Linked DNA regions of Astyanax mexicanus. The protein of the gene in region 2 interacts with the protein of the main gene of each other region in a biochemical or structural test. Links are inferred from orthologs where the notes say so. Each region holds a gene or a part of one and is shown on either strand. Other genes may lie near its edges. The genes, in order: trib1 and cebpa.

Evidence for each region.
Region 1: the proteins of cebpa (region 2) and trib1 form a complex in vitro, tested with the Homo sapiens proteins (2 studies listed by BioGRID and IntAct, with this or other methods). The link is inferred for Astyanax mexicanus from reciprocal best matches to the Homo sapiens genes CEBPA and TRIB1.

Annotation. Positions count from the first base shown.
Region 1 is NC_064410.1:43,224,612-43,240,894, reverse strand, and holds the start of trib1 (tribbles homolog 1), read right to left. Parts: upstream 8,291-16,283; 5' UTR 7,890-8,290; coding exon 7,563-7,889; intron 4,575-7,562; coding exon 4,282-4,574; intron 1-4,281. UniProt on the Homo sapiens protein: Adapter protein involved in protein degradation by interacting with COP1 ubiquitin ligase. The COP1-binding motif is masked by autoinhibitory interactions with the protein kinase domain.
Region 2 is NC_064430.1:12,439,780-12,455,660, forward strand, and holds cebpa (CCAAT/enhancer-binding protein alpha), read right to left. Parts: upstream 8,805-15,881; 5' UTR 8,504-8,804; coding exon 7,535-8,503; 3' UTR 6,024-7,534; downstream 1-6,023. UniProt on the Homo sapiens protein: Transcription factor that coordinates proliferation arrest and the differentiation of myeloid progenitors, adipocytes, hepatocytes, and cells of the lung and the placenta.

The DNA.
Region 1 (16,283 bases), on a different chromosome or scaffold from region 2:
GCACCCCTATCGAACAGGGTGTTTACATTGACTCAGGCCTGATGCATCCTATAAAACAGCTCAAATTTTTTGGATTAAATAATATTAAACATTGCATTTACAAGATTATACTGATACACTATATTAAACAGATGTCACACGATACTAATATGATCTCAATTGGTTGAATCTTCAACTCATGAAAGAAGAAGCTACGACACTGACAGTCCTGGAACAGACAGTTCCTGCAGCAGACAGAGCGCAGTAAGTAGCAGAACAAGTGGAAGGCAGAGCCGAGTGTAATTATGGCTTTGTTTCAAACAAAGACACGTACAGTGATTTCCAAAGCACCCACATACACAAAGTCTGTAAATCTCCCTCGCTCTTCTTCCCTCGCTCACACTCTCATCAACACTTAGCTATGTTTAGCCCCATTTCCAGTAGGACTCAATCCTCCTCTGCACTGACCGGATCCCTGCGGACATTAACAGCAGCTGGGCTTTATCATCTGTGTATGTGTGTGTGTTTCTGTACGTGTGAGAGAGTTTGTGTGTGTGTGTGTGTGAGCACGCCCAGACAGACCTTGTGCCGGTATCCCCCTCAGCGAGAGCTGAGCGTATTGTGTTTCATCACTGACTGTCAGGCTCACAGTCTGAGGGGTTTGCAGATGACACAACAGCATAGCGCCAGAGAGGTGGAGAGAATGAGTCATAGCGCTGTGTGAGTGTGTGTGAGTGTGTGTGTGTGAGAGTGAGTGAGTTTATGTGTGAGTGTAGGAGAGAACTCACTGTACAGAACTAACACTGCTCTGTCCTTAGTGTGCTCACTGCAGCTGGGTCCATGCTTTCGGCATCTGCCAGGGTTTAATTACCCTAAAACTTCTGCTGTCACATCAATGACGCATGAACAGCTCCGGCCCGGCTTGCCCCCCCTTTGCAGCTTTAATGTGGACACATTCCAAGGTAGTGTGTGTGTGTCATGTGTCTGTGTGTAAATTAGGGGCTGCAAGATATGGACACAACATCACGTCACACTGACATCAATAAGTATCGTGGAACACCATCTATTGCAAAATCATTGTGCGATCATGTGCATGTATGTACATTAATGCTGTACCATATAATATACAAAATATCATTATATACTGAAATTAAATCATTATTTTAGTATATATTGAAGTCGTGTTAGTACCTTCAGGCTGCATGAAGAAAACACCATAACACAATAATATCAATATATGCTATATTGTGTATAGAGTACTGCATCATTACTGCAGTTATGTGCATTGCAATATATTAAAGGGTTAACTTCTTAAACTCTGTTCGTAGGCCTACACTTCTTCTACTACGATTCTTCCCCCTCACAGCTGCACTAATCTGGCAATTAACAGCAATTCCAGAGACCCTAAAATAGAACCCTGGTGGACTCAGACAATATGCTACACTTTAACCCAAAAACCCACTACAATCAAGTTCAGTAATACAGTAAAGGTTTAAACATTAATACGGAACTGCCTTAAAGGATGTGTAGTAAAAACTGTAATAATTCCTTCTGCATGACCTTTCAAAGCTCTCTTTCTCCCATGTAATTAAACAGGCCGGTTTATAATGTGTTAAAGCCTGATCTAACTTCACTATTTTACAAAACTGGGAAGTGTCAAACAATTAAAAGTGTCTTATAGTACTGACCTAAACCATAATCTATGGTTCACATAAATGCCATACTACTGTTGAATGAAATATGGTCAGGTGTGGTCAGGAGGGTCACAGCAGAGTAGAATATATCTTGTTTGTTAGGATTTGTTTCTATTGTGCAGCCTTGTTTTCACATTATCACAATAGGGATGTTTTTTTGGAGAACACTAATAGGAGAACAAATGCAATTTTATACAAAAAGCGGTGTTTTAACATCACTGTGTTTATCTCACCTCATGGTGTCTAGTACTATTTACAATACTAGATTATTTATACTATGTATGATCCAATATCTGGTTTGGTAAATGAGTGCTTAATGATGTTAAATCATGTGAGCTGGTGATAGAATTTTAGAAGTTTTATTCAACTCTTTAAACTAGCTCACAATATCTCAACTACTTTCTTTAGAATTTGATGTTTTAAGTACTTTCACTTTTTTACTGCATTTAATATTATTTGATCCCATTTGCTTTAGTGTTTCCATGAAAAGCACTCGTAATGCTGTGAAAAATGGTTTTACTTAAGGTAAAACTTAGGTGCTAAAAGCATCTGAACAGTACTGTACTGTATATGTTCATGTTTTTGAGGTTTTGCCTCATCTCATTTACCACTGTTTTGACTTCTTCTGTCTGCTGCTGCTTATCACTTATCATCACTTCATATCATTACCCAAGCTATTTGAGGTATGGGTGTCGCAGTCGCATTATCTCTGTCTGTTTGTTTGTGCACCTGAGCATCATCGTTCGTGCGAAGAAGAATTCCATGTGCATGACACAGACAAAAAGACAAAGAAAAAAACAATAAAAGAGAAAACAGGATGAAAGCAAATGTGTGTGACAGGATCTACGAAAGACAAAAGCAGAGTCCTTCACAAAAGCAGATTATTCCTCTTTTGTGCAGTTTTGTAGGCTTTGTTGCTTTGCTTAGCACAGAACAGGAAGAAAATGTTTTAAAAAGGGTGACCTAGCTGCGGCTTTGACCCGCATCTCTGCCCAAATGTCAGCATACTCAGGTTATGACACTGTCTGGGTTAGACAGGTCGGATGGGTGAAGCTGGCAGCGGGGTGTCGCAATGTCAGCAGCCAGTTCTGCTGCTCTCTGTGGCTTATTTCTGCCTTTGGCCAAGGAATTGAGAGCCTGCAGGTTGAGGATCCAGAGCGGCAAGTCCACAACCCCCCCTCCGCCAAACCCACCCACCCTTTGCAATGGTATGAGTCATCCTGCTGCACCCGCACCGCTACAAGAGCCGGGTGACTCTGGCCTCTTGCACATGCCTGTCCATTTCTATTCACTCACACTGCACCACTGCCCAAAGGTCGCGTTTGAAAATGCTGCCCCAGAAATGACAAATGTATCCACACTCCTGAACGCTAGATGCGTACCCGTTCCATTTTACCACGGGGCATAAGCTTAATGTGGAGAGCTTGGGTGTAGAAAAGTGTGATACGTTTAAAAACTACTACTGTACTCAGGGGGGCATTAGTTTAAAGGACAATAGTATTACATCACTGGTTATTGAATAAAAAAATCTATAGCAAAAGAACTACTCAGAAACAGTCGGCCAGTTCTTGTGTGTTTTGCATTGCAAAACAGCACAGAAATTTAGGACAATCTGAAGGTGTAAGAAAATATCGATATATCAAAGTATTGTGATATATTTTTTTCATAACACATTTTTTATTTTTAATTATTAGTTCATTTATAAATATTGGTGGCAGACAGTGGTTCCTTTTGTGTTGTTTTTAAACCCCAAACAATATAGAGCAGTGTTGTACTCACATATCACATATATAATATATCTCATTATACTATATATCGTAACCACTGTATCGTGACTACCCCCTCTAAAACAAACCGGTCAGTTCATGTGTGTTTGCATTGCAAAACAGAAAACAAAATTTAGAACATTCTACAAGCTATTCTCTAATGAAACATGAACAGCCACAGTTCTGATTTATTCTGCGCTTCCTCTTCTGCAGAAACATGAGTAAGTGCCATAGTATAGAGATCCATTTGCTGAAAGGCTCCGCAGAAGCACCTGTGGTGCATCACAAAGGCAAAAGGAAGTGAGAGCTGAATGAAACCAGAACTGATGCTCCCCTCTCGCTCTTCTCTTTGCTGGGAATACTGCAGTCTACAGCCCTGAGTGACCACAGGCTCTCCTGCTGCACCTAACAACCCCCACCTGCACATCTAAACCCAACACCCCTCCTCCACACACATACAATGGTTGGATAGGTTGCTTTTACACAATGTCAGAATAGTGTCAACAGGTGCAATAGGTTTATTTGCTCCAGCGAGTCCTGTTCTAGCGGCAATAATTCCCTACAGGAACTAGATAAATCTGTGTGTATGTGTTTGTTTGTGTGCCACTGTGTCAGCAATGGGTGCCTAACCCTAAACTTAAACATAAACTTAAACCTTATCTGAACCCAAACCTTTTAGGACTGAGGACAAGAAGCAAGTCCCCTCTCTAGAGCTATTTTTCAAGTTGTCCCTTCAATGCTGTCCCATCATTGGACACTGACAGGGTTCTCAGAGATAATAATACAATAAAAACACACAAAGACACTCACAAACTAATTCTCAATCTTGCAGCCATCCTCACCTTTTTTCATCTGAGAACACGAACTTGCGGAGCTTGAGGTCCCCCAGCACTATGCCAGCCTGATGGCAGTGGGAGACAGCCGAGGCCACCTGATAGAAGAGCTTGGCTGCCTGTTCCTCAGGCACCCGCTTGCAGCTCTTCAAAAAGGTGTGCATGTCACCATAGTCCTTTTCCTGAAACACATAAGCCTTCCGCTCCCCGAGGACAATGTCTTTGATTTGGGCGATGTTCCTGTGCCTTGGCAGCATGCTGTAGGCCCTGATCTTCTCTTGGTACTGTCCCATATTAAACACCTGTAGGTTACAACATAGCACTGCTTTTATTTGCTGTGGAGGCAGAGTCAGGAATAACAACAACACATGAAGCAATCAAATGATAAAAAAAATGAATGCCAGCTCAGCAAGGCACTGCTTAACCCTTTCAGCCATGAGAATGTCAACAAGTCAGTTTTCTGTGTTTAAATGCCATACAGAATGGATTATGTGCTCAAAATAAAATACATATATATATATAAGTATATATAAATGCCATATACAATAGGCACTGGCCTGGTTATATCATCAGTGTTAGCACTGGTTAAACTCAGCTAAAACCCCTCGTTTCTTCTGTGCTACATTTGTAAGTGTCCTCAGCAAACAATGAAAAATGAAAAAAGAAGGGGTTAAAGAAAGACTTTAAGCTAATTCTCTCCCTCTCTCTCTGATGTATCTGTAGCACAGGGTCGATGCCTACAGGCTGTAATTTTAATGCACTCTAGTCCTGTAGCAAGTAAATAGGCTCAGATCACTCATAATGGGAGCCAATGGCCAGATTCTGAAACAGCTTCCCTCTGGCTCCTATTATAAGTGTATTTTAGCCATCAGGTCTTCTAAGAAAAGGGAAATGCATAGAAATTACTGTCTGAGGTAACCATGAGCTACAGCTGTAGCAGACCAGAGTAGCCCCCTGTTTCCAAGAATGAACCATGTTTCCAAGTAGTTTGGATTTTCAGCTAAACTTAAACGTAATATAGACTCTTAATCAGCACAGATCATGCTCAAAAAAACTCATCTAATGTGAACAGAATGAGAGACTAACCCTCGCCCTGTCAGATGGAGACAGCTTACTGTTGAAGGCCAGGCTTAGCCTCATCTGCCTGCCTGCACCACAGTGCTCATCAGCAAGTAGGGATCAATGACTGCTGGCTGTTTAATCAGCCTGACCCCACTTCTCCATTTATAGTGTAAGGCACAATGTCTATTTCTGTTTGTGCACGACGCCAGCCTTGGTTTGCCTGAAATATTTTCTTCTTTTTCAGCTCTCTGTGGCTGACGCATGCAAATAACTCCTATCAACACAATGGAGGGTGTGAAGTCTCACATTTAGTGGTAATTACACATCGCTTGGATCTGCTGCAGCCTATATGGGTTGCATGTGTGGCTTCTAGGTCTAAAATAGACCTTGTTATGCAGTGATGCCTGCGTTTAATGCTTGGCAAAGCAATATCACTAAGATTAGAGGAAGCATGCCAGTCTTTGCTATGCTTAAAGCTAAGGGTTGGAGAGTTTGAACTGCATGGAGTAGCAGGCAGGTGAAATGACTGTGTGTGAAATGCTCTGAGTGAAATGTTCTGAGTGAAAGGCCATTTTACACACATTGAATTTGCTCTAGCCTATATCCTTTATGTGCTAAACCATATGTGAAGATCCCTACCTAAAAAAAAACGAATAAAAAAACGGAACTGTGCCATGAAGCGAATTAATAATTGTTGGCAAAGCAATACTGCTGAGCTAAGAAGAATCTGAGCAGTTGGTTCCACAAAATGCTTTGGTTTGAAGCAGAGGTGGATAATATGATGGTAAAATGTTGTTATTGTGACAATATGGTTTCTGAGCATTCCATGGCTACTGACAGTGCATAGTGAACAACTCAATTTGTGTGTGTAATTAATTACTGATGGCATAATTAGTCCTGATTAATTGAAAGCCAATTGCATCTGTTGTACCGGAGCTTTTGATGGTTTTTAAATCTGGCACCACCAGTGCATGATGATTATGTATCAAAATTATGCATATAATTATTGCCATACACAGTTTTTCACATTGTGGGATAGCTTAAATCTAGCATGAGTGCCTGATGTATAAATGACGAATGAACTGACTTCAATCAAATCGATTTACATTGATTTCTATTGGAAGAGATTTTTGTTTGGGATCGTTTGGACAGATACAATATCTCTTTGAGTATTAGGATATAATAATTTTGCAATATTGCCCAATCCTACCTACAGTGTGAATCACTGATTGCACAGTGCACACCTCAAACAGTGATGTGTGCAATCAGGCCTTGCTCCATGTAATCAACCTTTTTATAAGGAGTGTAAGAAACAATATATTTACAGCTCTTGAAAAAAATAAGAGACCACTTACAAATTATTTTACCATTTAAATTGATTTTACCAAATTAAACCTTTGAAATTAAATTAAGATTAAACCAAGTTTAACTGCTTACATTTTTGCATTTTGCATTATTTGAGGTCTGAAAGCTTTGCATCTTTTTTGTTATTTCAGCCATTTCTCATTTTCTGAAAAAAAAAAATGCTCTAAATGACAAAATTTATATTTGGAATTTGAGAGAAATGTTGACCGTAGTGTACAGAATTAAAAAAAAATTAATTTTACTCAAACATATACCTATAAATAGCAAAATCAGAGAAACTGATTCAAAAACTGAAATGGTCTCCAATTTTTTTCCCAGATTGATTCAACTGATCAAACTGATCTCAACAACATAGTATCAATATTCAGACTGCATAAAACAAACTTTACTCTTCCTCAGAATATGTATATTGTGGTGTGTATTTATACTGTGAGAATTTCCATGAAATTTCTTTCTATTGTTTAAAAATTGTGGTATTCTGGTTTGTTTGCAGCATTGCAACATATAACACTATCGTCATGTATCATGATATTTATTGCAAGGTTCTTCCCACTCATACAGCCCTGCAGTGTATAGCTAGAACTGTTTGCACAGTGTATAGATGATTCAATGTATATATGATATATGATTCATCATATGATTGAAATGAATGAGTGTATACAGTATATACGCCTATATATATAACGTTGCACCTTATAGATAGCATATATATAGAGTGCATACCTTATTCACCAGATACACCAGAGTCATTTTAATGCATAGCATAAATGCATTACTACACTTCATTATCATAATGCTGATGTTTGATCCGCTCAGTGCTGACCAGGAGTCAGTCAAAACACTAGTTAAATAGCTGAGCTCACCTTGCACAGCAGCTCCTCTCCGGTCACTGTATCCAGCGCGCTGTGGAGCCCTGCCCGCTCGGCCAGGGGCAGCAGCAGGAAGCGGCCGATTCGAGACGGACCCTGGGGGACCGGGGGTGACCCCGGGGAGGCTCCGCTCGGAGGACATCCCGGAGAGGGCACGAGGGCAGCGGGGTCGCCCGCAGCCGCCTCGTTCAGCTTCAGCCTGGGGCACTTAGCCACTGGCTCGTCGCTGTCCAGGCGCTTGTGAGCGCGTCTGCCCGGCCGGGCGCAGGTGGGCGCCGGGCTGCTGGTGGTGGTGGTGCCGCTGCAGCCGTGCACGACCATGGTGGAGCCGAGGGGGTAAAAGAGCGGGTGAAAGAGGGGTAAAAGGGGGTGGGTGTCAGTCCTTGGAAAAGGGGGGTATTCCGTGGTGTCACATTCACGACTTCAGACAGTCATATATTCCTGCAGAATAGAGAGGTTAACTAGCTAAACTAACTTTTCTCGCTGAAAGACAAAAAAAAGTGGAGTCGAGTCGCAAAACAAAGCTGTTTTTAGCCGCTTCAGCGGGTTCAGTCCATCACTCAGGCCGAGTCTGGAGTGTGTGGACGGACAGCTGATCCCAGGAAACAAAACACAAACAGAGACGACCTCCAGAAACCCCCGGTCTCCGCAGCCGCTCCGTTAAAAAGCCCGTGTGATGTTGAAGCTCTCGCACACGACGACAGCTGGAACTCCGCCCGCTTAGAGCGGCGTTATTATTTTTCGAACGCACCCGTTTTGCGGTACACCCCGCCCTCCACGCAAGCGGATTGGCTAGCAGCGTCCGCCTCTCGCACTGGGATTGGCCGGTAGTAGTTCACACGCACCTACACGCACTTGTAGTACTAATTACTAGCGCTTTTCAATAAGGTACAGAGCAGGAGGCTGGATGCTGCCAGCCAATAAGAATGCACAAGAGGCGGGGTTTGCTGAAAACGGGTGGAATATAAAAATAAACCACCTAACGCCATTCAGCTCGCTTTTCCCATGTCACATAATGAGCTCAGCTTGATTGAGCAATCAGCCACACGTAGCCAAGCAGAGTCGCGGTGAATGACAAAACTCCACTTTCAGTTAGATTTTTTTTTTTTTTTTATCATTTTCATCATTTGGTTCTGCTGCCACTCTCAGATAGTAATAATTATGAACTGCTGCAGGATGTACAGGATTTATCTGACACGCTGCTGCTGCTCCTGCACATATCCCATATCATGTATCTCACAGGAGAACAACATTAACAACACTGAAGCCTGCCTTCATAACACACAGCTTTCACTGAATGTGTTCCTCGTGGAAACACGTGTGTGGCACTGGGGCAATGATTAACCTAGTTTATTTCGAAACGCACTGCTGCTCTGCTGTTGTTTTTCTCTTCGTTAATTCATCATTCATTCAGATGCGGCACAGCTTTCAAATTCTTTAAGGCGTTTTCCGTGATTTCCAGCGCTTTCCTGCCTGTGTACAGTGCATCTGTTTTAAAGGAAACTGCAGCAATGGTGGACGTTAGAGGAATGTTTAAGCGATGCCTGTTTGTTCATGTGACTCATCTCTGCTCTGAGAGGAAAAGCTGGGGAGTGGTGAGGTGCCTTTTGTAGGCCAAGCGCTTAACATGGTTCAGATCATAGACTGTATATAGCTGGACAGAGCATCGTCTCTTAAAAGTGAAGCCACCACAGGTCGGGCGCCCCCTGCTGTTCGGCTGCAGAAAGCTGTGTAACTCCACCCATCCCCATAGGTTTCAATGGCAAAACAGACAACTTTCAATCACGTTTTTTTCTAATATACTGTAATTCTACCTCCATTATTTAAATGCAACAGCTAGTGTAACCTCTGCTTATATTGTCAAATTTTTATATCCCCACAGAATTCAGTTTTTAAAACTTTATTCGGCTCTATTCAAAAAAGGTGTGGTTATGGTAAAAGGGCTGCTTATGGGCGGGACCAATAACAGACCGTCAGCTCCGCTCCGCCCCGCTCTGCAGTCTGTGACCGCGAGGCAGCCCTCAGGGGCGGGGTTATTTAAATGAGTAGGCGGTCTCTCCACAGCCTTTCTCCCTCCTCTGGTCTCTACTGTGCAGACTCTGGTCTCTGAATCGCCAAAATGGCGGAAGATTTTGGCTTCATTTTCATTGAATGAATGGGAACGGCGACACGACGTCCATCTTTATATACAGTCTATGATTCAGATGGTTTGCATGGCTTAAATCAGGGGTTCCTGATGTCTGTGCAGGAGACCCTTGCATGGAGGCCCTGCTTAATTTTAGGAACTGATACACCCGATCCACTTGATCCAGGAAGGCCTTAGCAATAAGCTGATGAGTTCTGATCAGATCATTTTTGTTTGGACAGGTCAGTGTTTTTACAGATTGTGAATTGGCCCAATTAAAGGCCCATATCAAGACAGGACAAATAGACAACAAGACCGTATGTAATATTTTGTAGGATCTTTTTTCTCACCCACAGCTCTGGGAAAAAATGAGACCACTTCAGTTTCTGAATCAGTTTCTCTGATTTTGCTATTTATATATATATATATATATATATATATATATATATATATATATATATATATATATATATATATATATATATGTTTGAGTAAAATTAACATTGTTGTTTTATTCTATAAACTACAAACAACGTTTCTCCGAAATTCCAAATAAAAATATGGTCATTTAGAGGATTTATTTGCAGAAAAGGGGAAATGTCTGCAATAACAAAAAAAAAGCAGAGCTATCAGACCGCAAATAATGCAAAGAAAACAGGTTCATGTTCATAAAGTTCAGATATAAAGAGTCATAAAGAGTTCAGATATCAATATTTGGTGGAATAACCCTGGTTTTTAATCACAGTGTTAATGCATTCTGGCTGCTCTCCTCCACCAGTCTTACACACTGCTTTTGGATATATTTATGCCACTCCTGGTGCACAAAAAAAACAAACACTTCAGTGTGGCCTTTTTTTATTTTGTGCAGTTTTTATTTTTTTAACCTATGTAGTTGTCATGTTCCTCCTCAGTTTATTAGAAAAAAATGCTCTTAAATTCATTTTGCGAGCATATGTATGTTTAAATTGTTTTTTTGAGGCTATTTAAAAACAATTTTGGAGTGTGTTCTATAAAAGTGGGTTGCAACTTAATGACCATGAGAAAATTGGTCCCAGGCTGAGACCAATTGAGAACCCCTATGCTAAAACATAAAATTTTCACTTGCCTCTTCACTGTATTATATTTATTCTAATGAGGACAGCCTCCATATGTGCACAGTGGATGACAAGTCATATTGAGTAAGGGCAGCCTGGGAATGAATTTGGTCGCATTGTGTATAATCAAGAAAGAGTAGGTTGGTGCATCATACCATATTATATCATAGCATCATGCACAGAACAAATGTCTTTCAAACATAACGAAACAGCTTACATCATCAGCATCTGGATTTCCAGAATAAAAATATGATTAATTTACAAATAAAGTTTGCCTACTTCTAGGTTTGCTTCATTTTCATGAAAAAAAAAAAAAAATACAGACACATCCACATGTGGTGACCCAAGAGATCTGGCGTGGTGAAATGCATTGAGAAAAGTGCAAGTGGACTGTAAGTTTATTGTTAGAAGCAAACCAGCTTGAGTGACTCAGCCAAATAAGTCACTATGACCTGAAGGATCACGAGTGTGAATCCCAGGTCATTCTGGGCTATCAACGTTGGCATTTTCTTCCTTATCACTCTTACAGTCATACTGGCCATCACAGGCATCTGTTCTCTGATGTATCAGAGCTGGTCTCCTGGAATTGGGAGCTTTTTTTCCGAGCATACTGACTCATTGGCAATAGTTCAAGTGATAGAGAGAGTCCCAATGTGTGGGTGGGTTAAATTGGTTAGCTAAATTAAGAAGTTAATTAAAATGAAAAAAAGAAATTAAATAAACCTTGCTGTGCTTATGTGTAAATAACTTTGCTCTGATTGGTTGATCACCTGCCTTGTAGTGTGCTGCAATGTATACAAAAGAGCTGTTTTTGCAGTTTGCAATGTGCATCCTTTATATTACATCATAGCTTTTTGAACCGTATTATTGCATTAAGACTTGTATGTTTAGCTGTAGCTGTGTTTTAGATATAAGGTTGGAATGTTTTATTCTAATTCTAACACTCAAGCCAAGCTCAATGTGTATTAAGCATATATTAAAACATGTTATTGTATATTATATTATAATATATTGTATTGTTGATTGTTCTAATTAACTGAATTCAGAAACATTCACATTAACTATTAACATGTATTAATATTGTAACACCACAGACTGGAGTGAGACATTTGCAGTTAAAAAAGTCTGACTTTAATATACAGGGCAGAACCAAAGAAATGCAGCCTGATTACAGCCTAAGGTAAAAACAGAACCAAAAAAGAGGGATAAATGACAGATGAAAAATAAGGGTCAAAAACAGAGCAAAAATACCAAGGTAAACTAGCTAAAGGGGCCAGACAAAAAAATAGGTCATACACAGAAATAAACAAAGAAATAATGCTTGGTATGCAGCTGAATCAACAGGGGAAATACTTCAAGACAGGCTGAACAAACAGAGAGGTATTTCTAAATGGGAGGACAGCTGAATGGAATCAAAACTCAGGTGATGCTGATCTACTAATTAGGTGCTGATAGGCTGGCTGAGACACATGACTGAGAAGTGCATTCTGGGGGTTAGAGTTCATTAAGGTGGAAAAGTTTGTTATTGAGGACTTGGAAGGTGTGACAAATGCCTCTTTATTTTGCTGTTTTGGAAAATGTACAGAATCCACACACCACTGTATCATTGTTTTAAATGCTATTTAGATTTAGAAATATTAACTGCAAGGACTGTGAATAGATTAGGACATTTTATCACTGTAACAGCAGTTATATAATTGCTTTATTTAAAAAGTACGAAAAGCTTCCACAAAAGCTTCCAAAACTTTGCACACTATGGGTCCTTTATAGCACTTGTGATGGGCTAATGGTGAACACTATAATGGGCTTGGCACCAGATAAATCTTTGTTCCAGGCTGTTAAAGTGTAATTTCTGGAGCTGACACACTGTAACCTTGGCTGGCACATTTAATTGGAGAACGAGAGTGTGACCTAAATCAGGAAGTGCATGTCAAAGTGTTTTGAAATCAGAGATGTATTGGCCCACATGGACTGTTGACCAGGTTTTTAGACGTCCTGCACGAACCTTTGTCCCCGTTTCATTGGCTTCTACTGGGGAAAGGATTAATTGGACAGGCACCTGTTTGCTTGAGCAGAAAGGGCCACTGTCTTCAAAGTATTCTGTTGGGAATGCAGTGTGTGTGTGTGCGTGTGTGTGTGTGTGTCCAGCGAACTTGTTATATCACCAAGTCCATCAGAACCTAATTTGTTTGAGGAGATGAGACTAATGAGGCTTTGCATTTTTTGATTGGATCTATTGCACCATTAAAATGAAAGATTTATTGCTGACTTGGTGCTGAAAGTACTGTTATGACAGGTGGAATCAATAATAGAGTGAAATTAAAGAATGTGTCAATAGCAACTGTGGGCTAGGGGTGTGCCATATATCGTATCGTACACAGTGATGTTTGTATATTTTTGAAACAATAAAAAAAACATGTCATAAGAGTAGTTGTATTCTTCTATTTTGCATTTGTTTTGCTATTTACTGTGAAGCTTTAAGGGTATATATAAGTGTTTTGAATCCATATAAGTAGGTTGGGTAATTGGGGAGAAAATGGTATAAATTTTTTTTATAATTGCTATAATTATGTATAATTGTATATGTTTCCAGGTTATACTTATTCACAGTGTATTTTGGTCTTGGGTTTGTATTGTGGTCAATTTGTTTTTGTTGCATTACAATATTTTACATTACATCATTTGTTGTATTACATTATTATTATTATTGTTTTATACCAAATTAGAGTTTTACATACTGTTGTTTACAAAATAGACAAAAGTTTATAGACTCTATTTCTGTATACTGTTGTGTTGTGCTCATATATTCTTGAAATCACTACAGTATTTTTCAGTGTTTTTGCCATATAACTTAGAACAGTGTTTCTCAACCAGGGTGCCGTCTGGCTTCATCGGGGGTGCCGTCAAAATATTGCGCCTCACGTGCATATTTCCTTTCCAGAGTCAGCTCGTGTCGGGGTGTGTCCCAATTCACAGGCAGCATACTCTGAAGGATGCGACCCACAGAGGCGGTGTATTACTGCGCAGCTGTGACGCAATCTGTCTTCGAATACAGCCTCTGAAGGATGCAGCCCCTAAATTGGGACACACTGTAAAGTTTTTGTCCCCCACGCGATGCACGCGCTATTTTATTCCGCCAGCAACACCCCTCGTTCTCACCTGAAGTACTGCGCCAGCACCCCCCCCCCCCCTTCTCACCTGAAGTACTGCGCCAGCACCCCCCCCAATCCCCCCACCCCCCCGTTCTCACCTGAAGTACTGCGCCAGCACCCCACCCCCCCCCACCCCGGTAAACTGGGGTGCCGTGACATCTCGCATATATTTGAAGGGTGTCGTGATAGAAAAAAGGTTGAGAAACGCTGACTTAGAATGTCATTATTACAAAAATACCCTGAAACATGTTATTATAAGGTTATTTTAAGACCATACTGCCCACCCCTACTGTGAGCTATGTTTTCTACTGTATGTTCAAAGTGAATGCAGGACAATTGACCTTTTTGTCATCACAATGCCACATGCTATAAAAGAGCGAGGGAGCAGGTTCTATAATTGCTGCTTGCAACTGTTCCTGGCCGCCTTCAGCGAACACTTTACAAACAGCTGCTGTGGAAATGAGCCGTCAGGCTAGAACGTGGTGGGAATATTGCCATGAAAAGCTAGTTTATTTATAGTAGGCATGTTTTCAGTGATCTTTTCTTATAGATGACTCAGGCTGTGATATGTGTATTGGTCATACAGTAATGCAGGCAGAACAGGTTTTACGCTTCTGTTTTTTTTTCCTTCCCTCGGTTCTTCTGTGTAAAGCTTTCCCAGACCTGCATGGGAAATGTCGGCTTCCACATTGTTGTGACATAAACAGGTGTTGGGAGAAGTGTTTTGGGCAGCGTCTGTGTATATTTGTGTGTGTGTGTGTTCCAGTGAACCTGGCCATTTGAGATAATTTCCACTCGGGAGTCCTGTTCAAGGTTCTTTTCCACTGTAATTAGCTGACTCACTCACTGCCAGCAGTAAAGAGAACCTGCTGATCATGCTTTCCACAGAGTGGCCAGGCACCAGGCAATTGAAGCAGGTGTAAGTTATTCTCTACAGGCAACGTACACTGAACGCCAGCGATGACTAACACCAGCAGATCCGGCCTTGACAAGACTGATGCATCATAATCATAGCTGAACTTTAACCATGGGCAGTTTTTGTCAGAGGCAATCAAGAAACTGGGAGGTGATCTGAATGCTGAACATTCCTCAGCTCAGCAGGTGTTCTGACAGGGGTGGCTTTATGTAAGAACGCTGCTATTGACCATAATACTGTCATTCAGCTGTGTCTGAAACTGGAAGTGATGACAGACCATGAACCTCAAACTGTTTTCCTGTCCTCTTTCGCCTGAGTACAATAGAGCTGTTAAATGTGCAAATTCCACAGCCTCAGATTGTATTTTCCCCCAACTTTTGCGTACAAAAAGGTCACTATCTAGTGTCTAAATGCAGAATTTACTACTTCAGAATTTAAACAATGTAAACCATGTAACCATGTAAACCATGTAAACAATGGTGGAAAGGCTAAAAGCTAAAGCTAGGTGAGCAAAGCAAGATCAGATGCTGTTACCCAAGTTAACAACTAGCAGGCAAAGCAAGCAAAGGACCGATGCTGTTGATGAGCTTTTGGAACAGCTGAAAGATAGCACTAGGACTAAAGAATGAACTGATGCTCTTATCTGGAGGTTTAAGAGTGAATAAAAGCTAAAATGCTATTTTTCAATGCACTGGAGCTTTTGGCTAGACTAAAAGCTAACACTATGCCACTAAAGCAAGGACTGATGCTCTTATGTGGTACACTGGAAGATTTAGAGAGGCTACAAATTGAGACAGAGTGACTGAAGCAAAGATGAATGCTATTATCTACTGCACTGGAGCTTTTGGCTAGGCTAAAAGCTAACACTAGATCACTAAAGCAAGGACTGATACTGATACTGTTATTAATCAGAATGCAACTTTTAGAGTAGCAAAAAAGCTTACAGCAGGCAATCAAATCAAGTTATTTGGTGCAGTGCAGCTTTGGAATATGTATATGTATTGTGATATACAGAGGTGGGGGAATCCTGAGTTCGCCCCACGCCATGTCGCACAGCCCCGCTCTGTCCCATCTGGCTGCCTAATCAGTCCAATGCATGACAGCTGGGACAGACCGGGGCTGTGCGTCATGGTGTGGGGCAGACCCAAGATTCCCCCACCTTTGCAAAAAGACTGTGCCTCATCCTTCACTTGAGAGAGATGGCAACACGGACCCCAAAACTGTATATCCCCAGGGCAATGTCATAATGTGTGTGTGTGTGTGTGTGTGTGTTGTTGTTTATGTTCTAAGCTATGCTAGGTTAGGCTTGGATATAATGTGTGGTTGCTCTGGGCTGTGATATAAACCTGCCAATAAAAGCAGAGCTTGTCTACATTTCATTCCGATGCAAAATAACAGGGTTTTTAATAAGCTTGTTAAAAGTCATCT
Region 2 (15,881 bases):
CTGCATGTCATTAGCCAGATTTAAACAGTGTTGATTTGTCCCTGGCTTAGAGCTGCACTGGAGCTCTCAAACATCTGTGCGGAAAGTCTTACAGGAACCCCATACTGGCGTGGGAGAGGAACATCATGAATGGGGGAAGAGAGGAAGGAGGAGAGGGATTAGGAGAAAGAGAAAGAGAGAACCAGAGAACATAAAACAGAGGAAGAGATAGTGAGAAACAGGTTGAATACAAAGTAGGAAAAAGAGCCAAAGAGAAACAGAGGGAAGCACTCACACACGTATACAGTGGATATTATTCACATCTGAACACTGAACTGGCAGGATAGAAAGATCGGAACTGGAGAGAGAAAGTTGGAGAGAAAGAAAAAGCAGGAGAAACAGAGAGAAGGTGAGAAGAGGAGACAGAAGGTGTAAAGAGGAAACAGGAGATTAAAAAAAGAGGAAAAAGCAAGAAGGGGAGAAATAGAACATGACATGAGAGACCATGGTAACAGGAGATAGGAAAAAGAGATGTGGAAGAGAGAGAAATAGAGAGAAACAGAGAAAGAAAAATAGAAAAAGTGAGAATAGGGAAAGAATGTAAAAGCGAGAGACAAACAAAAGAAAACAAGAATTGCAAGAAATATGAGAAATGAGAAAGGTAAGAGAAAGTGAGAGGAGAGGAAGAAAGTGAAGAGTTATATAGAAAAGTAAGAGAAAGAAAGAGTAAAGGAGAGAGAGTGAGAAAATGAAAATGAGACACAAGTGAAAAATAAAGACAGGGGGGCTCCAAAGGGTCCAGCGGGATAAGCGCTGCCACTATGATCAGGAGATTGCCTGTTCGAATTCTGTTCATGTAGCTTGCCATCGGCTTCCGGAGCCCTGAGAGAGCACATTGGCCTTGCTTTCTCTGAGTGCGTAGATGACGCTCTCTACACTACAAAAGGTGATGTCCGCAGAACAAAATGTATCGGAAACGAGTTGCTGCGTTTTCCTCCGATAGTGCTGTGATGCTACTCGCCAATGTTGGAAAAGAGGCGCAGTCTGATTCACATGTATCAGAGGAGGCATGTGCTAGTCTTCACCCTCCTGGTGCTGTGGCATCACTAGTGATAGGGGGAGTCCTAATGAGTGGGTGGGTTAATTGGTCGTGTAAATTGGGAAGAAAATGGGAAGAAATAGAGAGATTAAAAAGAAAAGAGTGAGAGAGAGAAATTGAGAAAGAGGATAGAAAGCAAGATGAATAGATGGAGAGAAAGATTGAAAGAAATGAAGAAGAGAGAAAGCAAGAAGAGAGAAAATAGAAAGAGAGTAAAAAGTGAGAGCATGCAAGAGAGGGAGACAAAAAAGAGAAAAAGTGAATAGAGAGAGAAGAAATGCAAAGCGAGAGCAGTGAAAAGAAGAAAAAAAGAGAAGACTAGTAGAAAAGGGGTGGGGGTGGTGATAGGTGGAGGTGGAGAGGGTTTACTGATTTGAATCTGATGTGTTTGTGAGGGGTGAAGTAGGTGCGTGCGGGTGCATTCCTCCAGCACCATCATTCTCTCCTGCTCATCAGAGAGCGTGTGGAGGGCTGATTTACTCACTCAATCACACTCTGCTGCTTATTGTGTTCAAACACTGTGAACGGCAACAGGAGAGCCGATGATCAAGCCTCCACAGGTTCCACACATATCCTTCTCTCTCTCTCTCTCTCTCTCTCTCTCCCTTTCTCTCTCTCTCTTTCATGCAAAGCTCAGACTACACACCATTTTTTGTCCCTCACAATGTTCACTAGGTCAGATTAAGCAGTTATCTTTGTTTTGTGTCGTACTGGCAGCACACAGTTCGTAGGTCATCGCGGGAGAGGAGCATAGAATCTGACAATCATGGCTACCGAAGCGCTTTGAGTGATGGTAGTGCTTTTGTGCTTAGAAAAACACAAAAAGAAGAGGAAGAAGCAACTGTGGCCTCTTTCCTGGATGACCCAAAGAGATCATCAAGGGCTTTGTGTACTCCAGAGAGAACTTGAGGTATAGTAAAGATGTAGCTACTTTAGCTAGGTTTCAGTGCATGGAAACAGAATAAAGGAATGAACAGAATAAATAAATAAAGAATATAAACAGAATAAAGGCAGGGTATTGATGCCACAGCTCAACAAACTTTTATTCTGTTTCGCTGGTCCAGAAAACTTCTCTTTGACTACAGGGGTTGGACAATGAAAATGAAACACCTGGTTTTAGACCACAATAACTTATTGTCCCGACGGACAGTTCTGGTGGAAAGAGGAGAGTTGAGGTGCACATTGAATTCTGCCGTGATTTGATCAGCCGTGGTTTTAAGTTTTTTTGGAAACAATCCGGGTTAGCACCCGAACATCCCTTTCAGACAGCTTCCTCTTACAGCGTCCACAGTTAATCCTGTTGGATGTGTTTTGTCCTTCTTGGTGGTATGCTGACATTACCCTGGATACCGTGGCTCTTGATAAATCACAAAGACTTGCTGTCTTGGTCAAAGATGCGGCAGTAAGAAGTGCACCAACAATTTGTCCTCTTTTGAACTCTGGTATGTCACCCATAATGTTGTGTGCATTGCAATATTTTGAGCAGAACTGTGCTCTTACCCTGCTAATTGAACCTTCACACTCTGCTCTTACTGGTGCAATGTGCAATTGATGAAGATTGGCCACCAGGCTGCTCCAATTTAGCCATGAAACCTCCCACACTAAAATGAAAGGTGTTTCAGTTTCATTGTCCAACCCCTGTATGTCATACTACACGGATCCGACGAAATCGGGCTAAATTCGTGTAGTCTGATTCGGGCATTAGGCTTAATTCTTTCTCTGTCTCTCTCTCTCTCTTTCTCATACACACTCACTCACTCACTCACTCACTCTATCTGCCTCTTTGGAGTTGCTGTGCTTATCAGTGGTGTTCAATTGTTGATCATACTCTGACAAATTGATCAATTCAAAGATGAAGACAAAAGCCCCAATCAATCACTGGTGTTGACGAACGGTCAGGAAGATAGCGGCTATCAGCTCCGCCGATGACGCAGCAGTGTAATGTGTGATCTACAGCATATGTAAGAGCTGATAGTAAATATTTGTTATAGGGGATGATTACCACCGACACACTCAGGAGCGCTGACTGCGCTGCTTAAACAAGATTAAGGGGATTTTAGAGCCTCCAATCCGGTCCAATCAAGTCCAATCACTTTTAGGAACTTTAGAGGCTCCTCCATTTGAAACTATGAATGAACCCCATAGCAGCCATAACAATATATTATTATTCAGTTCAGCTATTGTTCTGTTATTAATCCCAATGCAGAAACAACTGTTAATGAGCTAGTTTCCCTCAAGGTCTTGAGTCCTACAGGGTTCAATTTTAAGGCCCTTGAAGAAATAGATGATACTTATTATTAACAGTGTTGTTATTGGACATGTGGGTTTACATAGAGGGTTAAAGGGGTTAAGGTGCTTTGAGGAATCTCTAAAAAAAAAACCCAAGGCGGAGAAGTTTTAGAGAACTCCATCTTCGTTATTGTTATGTGGATTGGGGAAAATTAGTTTTAATAATAAAAAAACACTGATGTCACAAAACACACCTTTCTGCTATTGCACTATTGTCTAGTGTCTCTTGTCTGACATATGTCTGTCTATAAACTTTCATTCTTTTATGATTTATAATTGTATTTTGCAGTACTTTAGTCAACTATTACTTTGTTTTTTTGTTGGGTGTTTTTCTGTAACTTTGGGAAAGAAAGTAACCAAAGTTCTCTGTAATGTACATATCATCGCTGTCCAATGAAAAACAAGTACCTCCATTTTTGCTGATTTTTAGTTTACTACAGAATTTGAACAAACTGTCCCTTAAACTGTCAGAATGTCTTGATGAACGGACCAATAGAAATACTTCAAATTCCCTGAAACTTGAAAGTCAATTTTACATTGACTTCCATTGAAAGTGTAGAAGGTTTTTTCTCTTTCCTGTAAAGTCGCTGTTTTGGAGATACTTGCTTTTCATTGGACAGTGACAATATGCAGAATTGACAATGAAATTTCTTAACTTGATAAGTCATAAAACTACAACGTATACACTTTGATATCAGTAGCTTTCAGGCTGTTCAGAACATATGAATATGAATATGAATGCATGTAAATGCTGCTTGTTCTATTATAAATACATAGTACGCTATTTTGATTCCCTTAATTAAAACCCAGAATTCTTGCACGGAACACAACTTTTAAGAAGCTGTATTAGAATTAAACTTCTACCCTGATGTCTCATTTTATGCAAGTTTTTTTTTTTCCTTTTTGAGTAGGGAAATGGGTTTCAAATGTAAGTTACTCTGCTAATCTCTGTGTTGACTGAAATATTTTTAACATATCAGGGGAGAAAATATCTGTTTTGGAAAGCAGTCTTTTCTTTTAGGTGGAGGTGGAGAGAGTTACTGTTTTACTTTTTCAAACGTATTTCTGTATTATGCGTCCTTCTTTATAATTTGTGTTTGCATGTGGATAGAAATATATTTTTTTAATGTAGGAAACCAAATCTCAGTTATTTAATACATATCCAGATGTGTCTAAATGTAGTATTAGTGGAAATAGTATTTGTTTTTAAAGGGAAAAGAGAGGGTGATTTAAATGTAAATCTGTAATTCTTTCTAATGCTTATTTCTTTCTATTTTTTTCTAATTCTCTGTGGGGACTAAAATATATGTTTTTAAAAAACAGAGGGATTTTTTGGTTTTAACCAGATATGTGTGTATGTAGCTTCAAGGGAAAGCTGTTTTTTTCTTTCTTTTAGAAGGAAATATGTTGTTTTAAACATTCAGTTTCTTTCTTTCAAAGTTTTACCTCTTCTCTTTTCTGTCTCTTTGTGTAGGTGAAAATATTTTTCAAAATGTATGCAGTGAAATTTTAATTTTCTTACTGCACCTTATTTTTTTAATTATGCTGTACCGCCCCTATTATTGTTGTTTGTGCTTCTTTAGAATAAAAAAAATATCTATCTATCTATCTATCTATCTATCTATCTATCTATCTATCTATCTATCTATCTATCTATCTATCTATCTATCTAATGCTTCTCTCTTTTTCATTTTTGTCTTTGTGTGGACTGAAATTTTTTTGGAGGGAAATGTGTGTATAAAGAATGGAATCTAACCCTTTAGGTGAACACTGTAGAATATAATGATGGTAAATGTAAGAATTGGTCACTTTCTAAGGTAAATGCATCAATTGTTTTTGGTGTGGTGGCTGTGGATTCATTTGAATACAGTTAAAGAGTGAATGTCTGTCAGTTTTGCACACTGTAAATGTGTTGAAACCTGGACCTACATCTGTATCTAGACATGGTGGGTTTTTAATGATACTGCATTGTATTCTTTGTATCAAAACAATGCCAGAGTTACAGAGTTGTAATCAGCAGTGTTTTCAACATGACTCATGGAAGTTAAAGAAGTCAGGCGACTTACAGGCGCCGTCTATTGGCAAACAGTATAACTGCACCTGAGTAGATTTGCTTAGAGGCAAGAGCAACAGGGGGTTGATCCTCAAGAGACTCAGAGTCTTCAGCTTTAGAATCATTACTGTACTGTAACCTTTAAACTGCAACATGCAGGGTCTCCTACAGCATGTTAGCACAACACACAGTTAATAAGTGGTCAAACGAGCATTATAGTAAATGCTCTATTTCTTTCTCTAGCAGTTAACCCCTTAAACTCCTTAAACTGTGTATAAGCCCACAATTCTAATAACAACACTGCTGTCGTAATTATCATCAATTTCATAGCCCCCAAAATTGAACCCTGTAGGTCTCCAAATGATATGCTAAACTAAATGATTACCAAATCATTCACAGTTGTTTCTGCATTAGGATTAATAACTGAACAATTTCTAAACCAAGTCTAGAGTTTGTGGAGTATATATTATTATAATTTTTTTTACTAAACTGGTTCTTAAATATGTCTTGAAGCTGAAATACACAGATACCAACACACGTATCAGTTCAAAGGTCTGTTGACCTTTGTAAGCACTATGGAAGTAAGATAGCAGCAAGAGGAAATGTAACACAATACTCTTTTTATTATAATTTGTAAATTTTTGGCATATATAATGTTCATTTTACAATTGAAAAAAAAAGTATTTTTAAAACATTCATATAACATTTGCAATAGGCGGTTTGTAAAAAAGTGCTTCCTTTTCCTTTGCTCTAGCCTGTATTTCAAAGATTTACAGAGTCCAAAAGATAGAGATAGAAACAGAGAGAGAGAGAGAGAGAGAGAGAGAGAGAGAGAGAGAGAGAGAGAGAGAGAGAGAGAGAGAGGGACATAGAGAAAGAGAGAGAAACAAGTTCTGCCAGTGGTGACATAGAGACAGGAAAAGTCGAAAGGCACTGAAATTCAGTTCATCAAAAAAAAAAAAAAACAATAAAAAAAACAACAAGAACATGAACTGAGCTACAAACAGCACTTCACGGGGGTGGGGTGGGATGAGAAAGCGCAGGGTGACCCCTTCTTTCCTTTCACACTCTTTTATTCTTTCTTTCTCTCTCACACACACACATACACACAGACTCACACACACCCTTCCACCCAGCATCGTTACTGCATAAATACAAAGCTTGTACACATCAGTACCCCGAAAAAATCGTGCGCTCCGTCAGGTCCATCAGTCTGACCACACATAGTGCATATAATAAATCCGCTGCTCTGAAGGCAGCAGTTTAGACCACAGTTTAGAGAGTTTGGGCTTCCAGTCCTTTTGCTTTGGCATGGCATTGGCATCATGTTCAGTCCGCTTTACGTACACATACAAAAACGCATACATACAGATACATAACCCCCCAACCGCCCCAATACCACCGGCCCCCCATAGACCACATCATTACAGTCAAAATACATCCCAGACTACAGTACTGAACTATGGTTCATCTGATTATCTGATCTGCGCACCTTTATTTCTATGTCTTTGCCTTGCAAGTTTTCAACAAGTTTCGATGTCTGCAGATGTTTAGAACAACAAAACAAAGTTTTTTTTTTTTTTTTTTTTTTTGTGCACGTGCATTTTGTGTATTTGTCTCTAAGAAATAACACCAAATAGGCTCGTGCACGCAGAGCAGATTTATCTTTGCAGAAAATAAAACATAAAAAGACAGTCTTGGAGGGGGGATGAAGGTGGTGGGTGAAGGTTGTGGGTGATGGTAGAAAAAGTTGGTACCTTTCAGAACCATGAAGGACGGTTGCTTGAAGTGAAATCATGCCCTACGTGAGCTGCACTGATGATGACTATGATGATGATATGTTGGCAGAAAAGACAACTTCAATACAGCCATGAAGTCCACAAGTTCAAATATGTGCAGACATGAGCTTATTATTATTATTATTAATATTAATATTATTATTAATAATATTTTTTTTGTACAAAAGGCACATGTAGACCGCAGCTGCCTGGCTCGTGTGGAAAACACTTTTTTCAGTATCGTGTCGCGCGTCTTTGAAGTCCATCCGGCGGACGCTGTGAGTAGCGGAGCTGAGAACCGAGAGGGGAGAACCGAGAGAAACCGTCCCCGTCAGTTCAGGCGCAGCCGCCCACCGCCTTGGCAAACGAGCCGTCGGGCAGCTGCCTGAAGATGCCGCGCAAAGTCTCGAGCTCGCGCGTGAGGTGCTCGACCCGCTTGCGCAGGCGCTCGTTGTCCGATGCCAGTTCGACGACCTTCTGCTGCGTCTCGGCGTTGCGCAGCTTCGCCTTGTCGCGGCTTTTGCGCACGGCCACGTTGTTGCGCTCTCGCCGCAGCCGGTACTCGACACTGCTCTTGTCCACGTGCTTCTTGGACTTGGAGCGATCTCCGCTCCCTCCACCACCACTGCCTCCTCCTCCTACCAGTTTGATGGAGCCGCCGTGCTGCTGGTGATGGTGGTGGTGGTGCTGCTGCTGGTGGTGGTGATGGTGTTGGTGGTGCGGGCTGGGCACCGGGGTGGGCGGTGGCGTCGGGTGTCCCGGCGGCTGCAGGTGCACGGCTGTCTGCGCGCAGTGCGCGATCTGGTACTGCAGGTGTGGAGGATGGTGGTGTCCGTGCCCCTGTTGGTGCGCGTGCTGGTAGGCTGGTGGCGGCAGCGGCGGCATTGGTGGCCCGTGGCCGGCTTCGTCGTCCTCCCGCGGCTCTTGCTTGATGGCGAGCGCGGATCTCATGCGCGCCTCGTACGCCGTCTCCAGCTTCACCGGGTCCACGTAGCCGCCCGCGTAGCCGTAGCCGTGCGGCGCGCCGTCCCCGTAGCCTCCACTGTAGTCACCCGCGGCCAGCTTGAGCTTGGCGTCGTGCCGTGCGCCAAGTCCCCCTGCGCCGCCGCCGCTGCTGTGGAAGAGGTCGGCGAGGAAGTCGTCGTTTAGCGCTGCTGGGTCGATGTACGCGCTGATGTCGATGGAGCTCTCGTGCTCGCAGATCTCGCTCAGGTCGTCCTTGTAGCAGTAGGCGCCGTGCGGGCTCGCAGAGAGGGTGGTGAGCGGTGGCCGGGGGGCAACCTCGTACAGGTTGGGCTGCTCCATTGAGGACCTAAACGCCGCCGGCCATGGTGACGAGCTCCGGGAATCCAGTTTAGCGGGCTCTCGCCGACCGTCCGTCCGCGTATAGGCGCGCCAGCCACTCCGCCGGGGGTCCCGCTCAGGTCCCGCTCGCTCTGCACGTGTGAGCGAGCGCACTTGTGTGTGCGTATGGGTAGGTGGGTGGGTAGGTGAGTGAGTGAGTGAGTATGCGTGCGTGCGTGCCTGACTGCTTGCGCGTGCGTGTAGAGCAGCAGCACCTTCTCACTGAGCTCGTGTGCCTCCCGTCTGACACACAGCGAACTGCTCGAGCTTTTTATAGAGCCGTGTGCGCCGAGCTGCACGGCCGCGCCCCTGGTCCTAACGCGACACACACACACACACACACACACACACACACACACACACACATACACACACACACACACACACACACACAAGGGAGACAGAAACTAACGCACACGTACAGCGTGCAGTCCTGGCAGCACCTCATATTCTGAATACGAGAGTCGATTTTAAGCGCATTTACACACACTTACAGAGAGAGATATCCAAGAGATATATGACTTCAGATTGTTCATGCAAATCCCCCAAAAAACACACATCTGTCTTGTTTTAACGAAGCAAATATTATATAGCCTATAACACACACTGTATATTAGCCTTATATAAATATAACTTTCACTTGGAGAGAGTGACACAAAATTAAGTGAGAAAAGAGAGAGGGAAAGAGAGATAGACAGACAGAAAGAGAGAGAGAGAAAGAGCTGCAGACTCCGCTGCAACAGAACGAGTAAGTAAGCTGTATGCCTAACTGCACACTCTGAACAACGGCAACAATCAATATATATAACCACTAATAATAATGATAATACATATATAGGCAGTTTCACAGACAGGGATTAAGTCTAGTCTTAAATCTAGGACTACACAGTATTGTGAATGTAGATTTTCTCTATTAAAAGGACAATATAAAATAGTATTTTATTAGGCTTAATCCTTGTCCAGGCATAAATAAATAGCCTATTGCTTGTATTTACCAATATTTTAGTATATGTACAAAATATATAGCTACAGTCTTATATCGTATATATCTACAGGATATTGTTATAATGTATATGATCTATACATATTTTTTATTTGATCTGCACGCTAATAATCTTTATTGCTAAAAATTTAGATAAAAATTTATCTAAATTTTTGTATCTGTTTAATTCGACTGAATTGTACACTTGATCAGGAACGTGCTAATAAAATGTTTATTAGTTTATTTGTATAGTATAACCTGATCTATTGAAGTTAGTTTCCTTCTATAAAAATAATATAAAATAAATAATAAAAAATAGCAAAAGCACAAACCTTTAAAAAAACATGAACCAAAATGATTCTGCACTGGTTCTTTCGCAGCTGACCAGTTGTACTGTGGGTATCTCTGTCTGATAGTTCTGCAGCCTCACAGTAAAACGCAGTAAAAATGTTCAATGCCAGCTTTCAGCAGTTTAGAACCTTAGAAATCCAAAACGCATTTATAGATGCTGAATCTAATATAAAAAAAACTTATAAAAAATGAATAAACAGTATAATGATGCATATAATGATAAACGTTAATCTAAACTTAAAATCAGTAGCGTGTGTGATATTAAAGCGCACAAAAAGTGTGCGTGCGTGCGTGTGCGTGTGTGTGTGTGTGTGTGCGTGTGTTCACCTTCAGTCTGCCAAATCAAACTCGTCGACAAACTCGCGCACATAGCGCACACACATAGCCTACACACGGTCGCGCGCGCACACTCCCACATCAGCGCAGAGGGCGAGCGGGGAGCTCCCTCTACCGCTACAGCGCGCGACACCAGTGCTTCATTTACATATTAACATACACATCCCACCAGAACGTGAGCTGTTTCTGTAATAACCGGTATCAGACTGGAACAGTTACGGTAAACTCGGAAACACAGCGCACACGAGGAGATCGTTAAATAAAAACATCTTCACAATAACCGGACATTGTGTGGGACACTGTTTTCTGTTTATGTTGAATTAAATGACTTGGCATGATTAGCTAAGTCTTGGTTGCATTGTTGTCTGTAATGAACTTTAAAAAGTTTAGATTGCATTTCATATAAAATCAAGTACATTGTAAAAAAAAAACAATTTAAAGGTTTGAATAGCTGAAAGTTGGTTAAACAAAAAGCAACAATACGTTTTATGTTAACAAAAAATGTAGCAATGTGGAAAAAATATGCATTTGGTGGCCGCTGAGATAATTTACCTGATTGGCCGGCATTCATATTTTGGCTAGAAATGTAAATATGTACAACGTCATTTTATGGGTAAATCTAAGTCATGCTAGACACGTCCAACACAATCTGAACACGTCAGAAGCTGCTCATTAACAGATTTCCTGAAACCACACTGTAGATGGTGAACATAAATAGGACAGATAAAAGGTTTAACACCCTCCAATAAACTGGACTGCACATTAACCCATTCAATAAATTCACTACTCAATTTAGTAGGTTATGCATGATGATGTTATCTTCCATGTATAAAGTACTGGAGACCTGAATAAAAAGTGCAGGTGCTCTATCAAAAAAGTCACTTGAGTAGAAGTTGAAGTGTAGTTTAAGCTCTACAATTAATGTATTTAACATTTACTGTACTTAAGTACTGCAATTAGTTTATTCCAAAATGTAGTACTCAAGTACTAAAAGTAAAAGTATTGTGTTATGTAGTTCTTACAAAAAGCAGTCAAAAGTTTGAATATAATATTACAGGCAAGCAGCAGAGTGAAATGCAGAATTGGAGCAGTGTGGTCTTCTCATAAGACCAGCTTGATCTCTTGATTCACTCAGTGATGACTGATGAGCACCTTCATCAAACCCAGTGACAGTACAGAGCATCTGCCGCTCTGGCTTTAGTGATAATGTGTGTTTGGAATAAGTAACAATGCAGCACATAAACATTTATCAGTGTAAAACTTAAGTACTACTTCATTACTATACATCTCTGATGACTACGTTTTACATTCTTAATATTCACATACATTGGATATTAAACTGTTGTGGTCACAGTCAATAGGAGCTGAGTTCCTAACAATTACGTTAAAATATTAGACATTCTACTAAACAAGTTCTGTTTTTGCCCTTTCTAAAACACGGATACAGCCTCATATTCACGTTACCAGAAAGTGTTTCTAATCAGATTTTTTTTGCCTTAATGTGTATTAGGGTTGAGTGGACATTTCAAAGCCATCCAGACTTTTTCAAATAAGATTTGAATAAGTAACTTTTATATGTGGTCCAATATTGCATATCTATTCTATCTGTATTGTATCTGATTTATTTACTTTGCACACATTACAGGACCCATTAATCAATTCAGATTTTTCGCTCATATTAAAATGGTGATCTTGATGATTCACATTCATTAATGACCCTGACAGAATCTGACTACCTGACAGAATCTGACTCTGTGGCTGTTGTGAAGGAAAGTTTAATTATAATAGTTATTCATAAACAGAAACAACAGGAATCATAAGCATAATCTGTTGTGCCCATACTGCTTACTGACATGCATGCACAAAAAGTTCAGCACAACACTGGTGCTGGCTAATTATGATTAAAGCAGGGGCTTTAAAAAAAAGATGCATTAAATCTGATCTGGGCGTTCACATTTATGTTGTTTCCTCACAAATTTAATATGTATCTGAACACACGTGAAAAGTAGTCAAATCTGATTGTCATATTCACACCGCCCTAAAAAATCAAATCTGTGTCAGTTTGATTTGACACAAAACCTGATTTGAATCACTTCATCCTGGTAATGTCAAAATAGCTTTTTATTTGTGATCCTAGATCAGATTTCTTTTCTGATTTGGTGACATGCGAGATGATTGTGATGGTTATATTAGATTCCATGCACTGAATACACACACAGAATAGCAAAATCACGGTAGGGGTTAGTGTATTATTATATGAATATAATATAATATAATTGTACAACCCAATAGCACTTAGAGAACTCTTACTAAGGTCTCATAACTTAATTATCTAGGACTAAATATCTTCAACTATCAACAGCTACAAGACAATCAAAGCAAAGTGTTTTAAGGAAAGTATTTCCTAATTCATAAAAATAATTAAAGTAGTCAAGTTGAGAACTGCTTATTGGATTTCTGGAAAGCCTATTTCAACTCGTTTTTAAGACCTTAAAATTTCTGAAATATTTAGCATACTCTAAAGTAGTGGTGCGCCGTTCTACTGTGCAGTGACACCTACAAATATATGGAAGATGGAAGAAAAACTTTCCTTGCCACAAACATCAGATTCAGAAGTCTTTAAAAGAACACTTAAACAAGCCTGATGCATGAAAACATGCCCAGTGTACAGATGTAGCAATTTACTGTAATAGATATCTTGGCCAGGGGTGCCTTAACCTTGGCATACAACTGTAATTCACTGCACAGTGAATGACCAAATCTGTCCAGGCTTAACTACACTTACAAAACCCCAATGGTTCAGGGTAGTCCAACTACAGCTTTCTAAACTGCTGATAATGTGACATCATTAGACAGCTAAACACATTTGGATATTTGCAATTTGACCTAATTTTCTCCCCAAATTGTAAGGGCAATTACCCAGTCCCCATTTATTTGAACTCCCTCTATCACTACAAATGCCCCTCAACACTAAAAGGGTAAAGACTTACATATGTCTCCTCTGATACGTGTGTTATGGGTCAGAACCTGCCTCTTATCAAAATACCTCTGATGCAGCATCACTGGGGATGCACTCAACTGCACTCAGAGGAATGTGCAGCACCCGAGCTTCGACACATCAGCTAACAGATGCCTGTGCTGACCAACAACACATTAGGAACGATCTGGGAGAAAGGGCGACATCTACCCACACAGAGAGAGCAAGGTCAGTTGTGCTCTCTCAGACTCCGTCTGCTGATGGCAAGCACTATGATCCAATATTGGAACCAATGATCCTCAGGTCACACTGTCTGCTGGTCTCCCAATTCTCTAATATCTGCTAACAGATGCTTGCACTGTATAGTATTGTGCTAAATGATGGGGCAGAGCCAAATAACAAGACCAAAACTGCTAATATCATTCAAAAATAAAAGGAACTGATCTATTCTCTATGTTATAACAGTGTAGTATAACTTAAAAAAGGGATGCCGGATGGGGCTGTACTATTAACTAAAGCATTAAATTTTAAAATAATGTTATTTGTGTTGAACCAACCCATGCAAGTTACTGATACACATTTGCATAAATATGCTCTCATTAATAATATTTCCTATAATAATTACCCATCCAGCCCCACAGCTGTGCTGAAATTGGTGACTCTAAGTCAGAGTTGGCCCAGTAATGCATACTGGCTGGATATCTGATTACACTAGAGAATGTGTGTTTCCATCCGAATGGGTTTCTAATGGCAATAGGGAAATTCAGAATGTATTGGGGACAAAGTAAAGCATTTCCAAGAGTTATAGAGACATGCCCCCACCATCCCTGATTATTTTTTGCTAATTTTACCAAACTACACACTAGTCTAACCTCATGTCACCACTGTAAACAATAACAAAGGTAAATAATTCTTGATAAAATACAATGCGTTTTAGATTTATATTTTTTAATTTACAGCATTAACAAAGCTCATTATGTCTGTCTAGCATGGCAACGTTTCAGTAGACAGACAAAAATATTTTCTTTTTTTTTTGTTTTAACAGGATAAGCCCACCATTAGAATTTAAAATGAATTATATGGATGAATATAGTAGCAAGCAAGCCAGTTGGTTAGTGAGCAGCCTTTTCCAAAAATATATCACACCCTTATTGGTGGGCCAACCTTAGGTTTCAGAGCTGGTACTCTGTTAAAAGTAGAACTTCTTTGAGGAGGTTCTTCAGTTTAAAGCAGTAGAGGAACCCATTAAGGTGCTTTAATAAAGAGTTTTCTTCTAGAAACCTGCTTTTTTTTAGTCTGTGTTGTGCTGGTACATTTTGATCCAACATAGCTTACCAGCATAACAGCCTGTCTACTGGAATTTTGCTAAAGTATGCTATTTGTTGCAAATTTAACCACTGATTTAAGTGCTAGTGATGTCTGTCTATTCTCATATATTCTGGTTGCCAATCCATTAAGCAACTCCTTAAAATACTAAAGTCCTGTAGAGTGGTTCTGAACCCTAATGCTGGACTACAATGCAATATTGGTATTTTCCTACACCCCTACAGGTCAGTGATACTTCAGGAGCAGAAATAAAAATATTATATAGTGCTGTAAGGAACTTTACACAGCTTTTGAAGGGCCTGTGACACATACATCACGATAGCCTCTTTTGGATTAAGAACAAATGTGATTATTTACAATTAATCACAGAATAGTTTTTAGTCAATTAACATCACTAGAAAAAATCTATAAAAATTACATAAACATAATAGAAAAACAAAAAATAGAAACATATTGCTGGAGTAATGCCAAAGGCAATTTGGCAAAATAAACATAATAAGTCACCATCTGTCACCATCGCAGACAACAGGGAAACAGCTTAAAAATATTTTTATATATACATTTTTTATGGAGCCTCTATGGAGCCTTAAAAATATATATTAATTTGTGGCCATTGCTTATTAAGGCATGTGAACAAGATCCTAATGCATGGGAAAGACTTATTAAGGTGTCAGAACAAAATACAGTGCTGGAAAAAAAATAAGAGACCACTTAAAAATGATAAGTTTCTTTGATTTTACCAATTTGAAAACCTCTGGAATATAATCAAGAGGAAGCTGGATTATCACAAGCCATCAAACCAAGCTGAACTGCTTGAATTTCTTCACCCGGAGTGGACTAAAGTTATCCAAAAGCAGTGTGTAAGACTGGTGGAGGAGAACATGCCAAGATGCATGAAAACTGTGATTAAAAAACAGGGTTATTCCACCAAATATTGATTTCTGAACTCTTAAAACTTTATGAATATGAACTTGTTTTCTTTGCATTATTTTAGGTCTAAAAGCTCTGCATCATTTTTGTTATTTCAGCCAGTTCTCATTTTCTGCAAATAAATGCTCTAAAAGATTTTTTTTTGTCCGTAGTTTGTAAAATAAAAAAACAACGTTCATTTTATTCAAACATATACCTATAAATAGCAAAATCAGAGAAACTGATTCAGAAACTGAAGTGGTCTCTTCATTTTTTTCCAGAGCTGTAATTGAGTCATGGCCGTATAAGTTGTCCTTTTCTTTTCTTTTCTTTTGTCTTGTGGGCTTTCTTGTTATGCTCAGGTGGGTCGTGAGGTGGAAAAGGTTGAGAACCTTTACTCTACACAGTTCACTAACAGCACCGCTCCAGCTGAGCATAATTCACTCTCTATGATCTCA